Linked DNA regions of Astyanax mexicanus. The protein of the gene in region 2 purifies or fractionates together with the protein of the main gene of each other region. This does not show direct contact. Links are inferred from orthologs where the notes say so. Each region holds a gene or a part of one and is shown on either strand. Other genes may lie near its edges.

Region 1 (3,757 bases), about 14 Mb from region 2:
CAGTCCTTAACCCTCTATGGCATGATGCTGCCCTGAGGCAACAAACAAATGTTTTGGATTAATAGATCACTCCTTTATTTTTTATCATCAGACATTTTCCTTTACATGTCAAGTTGGGGAATAAATGGGGTTAACAGTTCTATATATTGCATATAGAAACATAAATATATATATATTTTTCTTTTTTTTACATTTCATATATATAAAAAAAAAAACATGTAAATGTAAAAAGTAGATATGGCTATTCAGATTTGATTTAATTTACTTACTAAAAAATATACATTTCTTTCGTTGTCTCAGGACAGCATAATTTATGTTCATTTATAACTTCCTAAGGCAATCATGCAGAAACAGTGATTCTCAAATTGAACTAAGACTGGTATACACAAATGACTGATAATACACCCCAAAATGTAGCAGGTACTAGGGGTCCCTGTTGATATAACAAACAAATATAAACCACTGCTTGCCATGTAATTGCATAATGTTGCAAACAGTTTCTGCATCACAATTAATAGCTAAATAAGCTAGTAAACACTTTAGTTCACTGCCTGGAACTCTTGTTGTTTTCCTCTGTCTAAATCCTTTTGAAATGTCCTTCTCAGCAAGAACACTGTATTAACCAGAAGCAAAAGAAAAATTAACACTGTTCTCATTTCCCATTGTATATCTACTAGAGACAGATTATATCTGTCCAGTATCATTCATTTTTTTTATTTAATACTGGATATATGTAGAGCGCAATATTAGTGCCATGACATTCTGGATCATTGACTTCTGTTACAAATCTGATAAACTTCTTGTATTTTTCAATATCTCAGTTAGGGGTGTGCCATTACATATCATATGCAATAAGAACATTTTATATTCATTTTGATGCAGTAGTCTGTATTCTTGAAATCATTTTTTAAATTCAGTATTTCGTCATATATTCAAGAGTATCGTTATCGTGATGATACCATGAAATATCGTGATATTATTTTAGTGCCGTATCGCCCACCCCTAATTCCTATAGCATTACATCTGACTGTAAATCTTTATAAAGGGACTAATAGTATAACAACTTCCGTATCCGGCCCCCCACTGTAAATAAGTGTATCTGTATCCAACCAAAACATGTTAAAAACACTTGCAACTTTTTTTTTTATTTATTTTTTATTTAAACTGATAATTACTGATGAAACCTGAAAAATTGCAAACATATGATGCAACATTATCCGTCCTCCCCGTTTGTTTTCAAACGAACTACTTACTTAGCTAAGTTAGATAACGTCTACCAGTAACGAGTAGCTGGCTCACGCAGCTAACGCTAGCTAGCACACTCAACAACACCTGAAACTCAAACTATAGATAATCCACATAAAAATGCAGAAACAACGAGACCAACGAGATTAGCCTGTTTCAAAAATATCAAAACAACAGTTATACAACACAGAGCCTTATCATTTCACACTTAGGCATACCTGGTTACTCTGGAAAACAACATTAAAAGGACCATATCCCGGACTTTTAAACATAGTTAGCTAGCTAACGTTATTGCTCTGTCTCTAAGTACGCACACACACACTCATACACAAGTTAACTAACTAACTATCTGCCTGATAAACAAGCAGTCACCAGCGTGACACACAGCTCTCACGAGTTTATGAAGAAAAATGGGCGATCTGGAGCTCTGAGCTCTCCATCGCAGCTGATTCATTCGTCTGAAACAAGTTGAAGCCAAGCTAACCAAACTAACGCTAGCTAGCCTAGCTCACAGTGGACGACCCTGCTATAGCTCTGTGCCAACATGATCGCGCTGCTAATGTTAATCCCTACACGACGAGTGCGTAATTATTAGTTACGCCTAAATTAGCAAGGCTAGTTCGCTTTAAAAGCAGGCAGGGGTTTGAGGAGACTCGTAAGGGTACAGAAGGAGCGGAGAGTGTTGGTCCAGCGGTGCCCATGACAGGTGTACCTGACGTTAGGCCCAAACTGACAGCTTGTCGGTCGGCTGGCTCCAAGAGCTAAATTAGCCAAGGCAAGCTAACGTTAGCAAGCAGTCCACGTAAAAACGCCGAGGGAAAGCAGCCAAACAACGACCTCCAGACTTCTCCGGACTTCCATCAACTTTCGCCTTCAGCGAACTGCAACCTGACACTTTAACTGCGCGCGTGAGGGAGAAAAGAGCGAGAGCTGCGGCGCTGTTTACCTTTCGGACGCCTTTGTAGATGTAGAAATACAGCTCCCGGCCCACATTGAAGCAGATTCGGTCGCCGTTGCCGGACTGGTCGTTTACGTTGACAAACGAGACCTTGACGGGGTTGGAGCCCTGCGAATTGAAAGGCACCCGGTTGGGGCGGCTGTACTCGGAGTGCGTGAGGAGTTTGTACGCGCCTTCTCTGGTCGTGAACTGAGTTTTGATCTCGTTCATCTCCTTCCCTCCTCCCTCCGCCGCCATCTTTGAAATTTGCATTCATCCTGGCCCAAGCCCGGATCTTACGCGCCGCACATGCGCAGTACCGAACACACAGGCTACTGCGGTCAGTCGGTTTTAAGGGAATTTTATAATCCTTACGCCACTTATAAAGAGCATTAAAAAAATATAAAATACTAAAAATACTAACATCATAATAATAATATTGTAAAGAAAGTGACATAAATATTTATCTGTGGCACAAATCAGTTTCTCTGATTTTGCTATTTATAGGTAACATTATATGTTTGAGTAAAATAAACAATGGTATTTTATTCTGTAAACTATGGACAACATTTCTCCCAAATTCCATATAAAATATTGTCATTTAGAGCATTTATTTGCAGAAGGAACTGGTCAAAATACAAAAAAAAATAAAAAAGATGCAGAGCTTTCAAACCTCAAATAATGCAAAAAAAAAAATGCATCTTGGCATGTTCTCCTCCACCAGTCTTACACACTGCTTTTGGATGACTTTGTGCCACTCCTGGAGCAAAAATTCAAGCAGTTCAGCTTGGTTTGATGGCTTGTGATAATCCATCTTCCTCATGATTTATAATCAATATATATACATATTGTAAGCGCATAAGAACCTCACAAAAATAATTATTTTTAAGTTACCTGTTTTTGAAAATAAACTTTCAGTGCTGGGGGCGTGTCAGTAAAACTGCTGTTACTCTCTTGTGTTTTATCAGAGTGTTTATATTAATTTAGTCGTACCCGTGGTGCGCAGTAACAGGGGATGAGCTAGGGCGCTGAAGGCGACATTAGTTTAACCTCGCTGATCCTCAGACCCACCTTTAATTTACCTGAAGCCGCTGCACTCAGCCCCACATGGACCACAATGCCGAGCAAACAGCCACGACGCCGAGGACATGCTGCAGCAGGTACAGGCCTTCAGCATGAGCCAGAAAACGTATTTAAAATATTTAAATTATTATAGAAAGAAAAGATAAATATAAAGAAGTTGTTGTAGAGATCTTCTAAAGACTTCATACATTTACTAATACAGATTATACTCACAGGTGTTCCTGACATAAGATCTGATCAGAGAGACCCAGTCACTGTGGACAGACTGGCATTCAAATACATGGTTGGACTTCATTCTTATAGAAACCAATTCTACCACCTGAAAATAAGTCATAATTATGAGATATTAAGTCCTTATTTTAAGATAGTAAGCCATAATTATTAGATACTATTAGAATAGTCGACAGTCATAATCATGACATGTTAAGTAACTATTTTGAGATACTAAGTAATAATTGAAATACTAAATCATAAATATGAAATACTAAGTCA
Region 2 (3,757 bases):
CTGCTGCGGCCCCAGCACTTCTCCCGCTTCCTCCACTTCGCCCGCCGGTTCTGAAACCACACCTGGTAAAAAAAAAATGCAGTGTATTTAATTTACGCAGTACATTTATGTAGTGCTCATATTGTGCTCATTGTGTGCTTACTAATGCTACTTCTTTTTAGTACGTATAGTGTGTGTGTTAAAGTTCTCATAGTGTGATCATAGTGTGCTTCATGAAAACTCATAGTGCATTTGTTGGTTAAACAAGGTGGTTTCATAATGTGCTCGTTGAGTACGCATAGTGTCCTCATAGTATGCTCATGTAGTACTCATTGTGCGCTCATTGAGGTCTGATAGTGAGCTCATTGAGTGCTCAGTATGTGTTCACTGAGTACTCATAGTGTGCTCATGTAGTATTCACTGTGTGCTCACTGAAGGCTCAGTGTGAGTTTAATGAATACTCATAGTTTGTTCATAATGTGCTCATTTAGTTCTCATAATGTGTCAATTGAACAGTACTAATATGATCACTGAGTGCTTATTGTGTACTTATTGAGTGCTCATAGTGTGCTCACTGAGTGCTCATTATGTAGATACTGAGGGACCGTAATGTGCACATGGTCTGCTGTGATAATATATGAACCAGTTAGTAACGCAAAGCACCTTTAATGTGTGTGTGTTTGGTGTGTTGATGTGTGTGTGTGTGTGTGTGTGTGTGGTAGGAGAATGTGCCTACCTGTATTCTGTCCTCAGGCAGTTCTGTCTTCATTGCCAGCATCTCCCGTGCATAAACATCTGGATAATGAGCTTCGTTGAAGGCTTTCTCCAGCTCCTCCAGCTGGTGTGACGTGAACACAGTCCTGAAATCAATGTTACAGATCAGCACACACACACACAGTGACTACTCTAAAATAATCACTAATGCTCTCAGCTAGACTCACCTATGTCTCCGTTTCTTCCTCTTCTGTGAATTCGCAGAGTTTTTCCCATCAGCGCGGTCCCCCGAGAGACAGTCGTCATCTGAAAATCAGGGAGAGTGTTTAGTCAGACACACACACACACATATAATTTTACAAAACATACTTAATATACTGAGAGATTTCAATCTCCCACATATGATATAGCCAATATTTGAATTTACATGATTTTTGAAAGAGGAACTTCCCAAAAACAGTTGTTTAAATTAATCTTATCATGTCCAACATGTCACAGCCTTCATAATCTTGGTTAAAACATAGAGGGACAAAATAATGGACAGAACATTTAACTAATTATTTAAAGAACCTCAGCACAATAACAACTTTTTTTAAAGGTGCTTTGTAGAACTGCATATCTAAGACAAGAATCATGAAGGAAGTTTTAATTTAAGACTGTAAGGCATTCCATGGTATATAGGGCTGAATAGTGAAGTAAGTGTTATATACCCCTTTTTTATTGTTCTCTTACTACAACATTTAAAAACCTGCGTTTTAGAAACCTAAAATTAACCTTTAATGAAATATTAAAGAGCCTCAATATAAATATATTTTTTCGTTAGGGTTAATCTGCATAAACTATTTTAAGCACTATTACTGTTTTTTATGGACTGTTTTTTTCAGCACCTACACAAGTGAACAGCGCCCAGGTGCTAAAATAAGCCCGCAGTACAGAAAACGCTGAATATGTACAGCTCGATATTTGGTGATATTTCAGATATACGATTATGATCCGACACAGTAGCATTAAACGATAATATAACGTGCAAAATAGTAATGTAGTACTGCATCTCTTAAGCATATACTATAAGGGCAGCAGCTCCACTATTTGCGCATCACAATAAAAAGACAGATTTATTAATATAATAAAAAGCCTAAATGATGAATAATAAACTCTAATAAAGGAAGTAATGATTTAATTTGAAGTCGATTTAAATTCTCACTTTTCTCTTTTAGCCTCTCTGCCGGTCGTTTCTTTTTCTCTCTATTTCCCCCTTATTTGCTCTTTCCATATTCTGTCTTGTTACTTTCTGAATTCGTTTTATACGTTTATTTTATCACGTTCTTTACAGTTTTTAAATGGTTTGTTTTGGGGGATTTTTTTGTTTCTATTTAGTTTTCCCTTCTTTTCTTTAGTCATTTGCTTTTTTCGTAGTTTTTTTTAGTTTTCCGTTTTCATTATTTATTATTTCGTTTTTGTGTCTTGTTCTACTTATTATTTTTTATAAATTTCCTTCTTTATTCTTTGGTTGCTTTTTTTCCGTTTGTTCTTTTTTTCTGTTTTATTCTGTATACATCAGTATACATTAATTTAATTTAACACTGGTAAGTATAATTATAAAAATAGCATTTATTGTATTATTTATTCTTACTGTGTCATTAAATATGTAGTTAAATATGTATTTGTATTAAATACATGTATTGTTTAAAATAGAAAATGTAAAACTTTTTTTTTCCATTGTTTTTTAAAATTCAAAATTTAAGAAAAAACAAACAAACGAATAAATAAAAGCCTCGCGCTCTTACCGGAGAACTCGTCTCGCGCCTCCACGTATGGTGGCTCGGCTCGCGCCTGCAGCAGCGGTACGTGAGCCGGTATGAAGCTGCGCGCGCCCTGATGCTGCTGCTGTTGCTGCTGGTGGTGGTGCTGCTGTTGCGCCGCAAGGCTGCACAGAAAGCCCAGGCCGAGCGGAAACGGGAACGCGCCCACCGCGCCGCCCGGGCACGCGCTCCCCACTGCCGTCGGACACGCGGCCACTGCCCCGCCGCCGCTCGCGCCGTCCGGGTCCAGTCCCAACAGGTCCGTGATAGCAAAACCTTTAGCGCGCAGCCCACCGGGCCCGTGCGCGCGTGTCTTCTCCATATCCCAACCGTCTGTTTACGCGCGCTTTACTGACTGTATGAAGGGCGGCTCGTGCCAGGGGGGCTCAATATATACCCCCCACGGGACAGCCGGCGACCAATCACCAACCAGCGATTATTTTTTTATTTTTCAATCCCGCGGATTAATTGCCACCAATTTCTGCTTTAAATCCGATAAAGATTTTCCTGCTGTCTGAACTCAGACTCCCTTTTCTTTCTCTTATGATTACATTCCATCTCAACAGCACTTTTAAACGATTTAATTCATGTATTGTTAATAATAACGACAATATAATAATAATAATAATAATAATAATAATAATAATAATAATAATAATAATCTTATTACAGCCTTTTAAATGGCACAACACAAAAAATATTTTAAGACATTAAGTTATTCCACAAAGATTTGTGCACGTAAATAATTATTTTAAAATCGGCCCATATATATATAAATTCGTGTTACCGCTAATTTTGATTGTTTTTTTTCTGCAATAAAAAACACTCCATTACCGTTGAAATATTAAAATGTTAAGCAAGTAAATTATCTATTTAAAAAAAATACAAAATATGGAAAAAACCTGTGTTTGGCACAGCACTTTGATCGATCGTCCAGTCTGTCAGGTTTTGCTAAACAGAATTAAACAGACATGATAAGTTAAGTTCAACATACAAAAACAATAGAACATATTCGGTACCGAACATACTGATGCGCATTAAACAAGTGTAAATATAATTAAATCAAGTGTAAAAAATACACGTATTATAAACATGTTATTATGTGTGATATTAAAACAAATCTTTGCGTATGTGTTGAGTGTTTTTCTGGGCAGTCACCATTTCGTTGACTTTTTAACAAGCGCCAAAAAAAAATGAATTTGACCAACCAGTAAAAATTAATTGTGAATGAATGTTTAAAAACGAGTGTGATTACGTAAAAT

What was found. The genes of interacting proteins can lie anywhere in the genome.
Region 1: the proteins of vsx1 (region 2) and wdr20a purify together in Homo sapiens (affinity purification with mass spectrometry; 3 studies listed by BioGRID and IntAct, with this or other methods). This does not show direct contact. The link is inferred for Astyanax mexicanus from reciprocal best matches to the Homo sapiens genes VSX1 and WDR20.

The regions. Positions count from the first base shown.
Region 1 is NC_064421.1:44,987,440-44,991,196, reverse strand, and holds the start of wdr20a (WD repeat-containing protein 20), read right to left. Parts: upstream 2,466-3,757; 5' UTR 2,456-2,465; coding exon 2,192-2,455; intron 1-2,191. Other genes in the region: uncharacterized protein LOC103042329, read left to right, coding at 3,300-3,342, 3,481-3,548. UniProt on the Homo sapiens protein: Regulator of deubiquitinating complexes. Activates deubiquitinating activity of complexes containing USP12. Anchors at the base of the ubiquitin-contacting loop of USP12 and remotely modulates the catalytic center of the enzyme.
Region 2 is NC_064421.1:31,041,842-31,045,598, reverse strand, and holds the start of vsx1 (visual system homeobox 1), read right to left. Parts: upstream 2,869-3,757; 5' UTR 2,818-2,868; coding exon 2,481-2,817; intron 1,000-2,480; coding exon 921-999; intron 840-920; coding exon 716-839; intron 63-715; coding exon 1-62. UniProt on the Homo sapiens protein: Binds to the 37-bp core of the locus control region (LCR) of the red/green visual pigment gene cluster. May regulate the activity of the LCR and the cone opsin genes at earlier stages of development. Dispensable in early retinal development.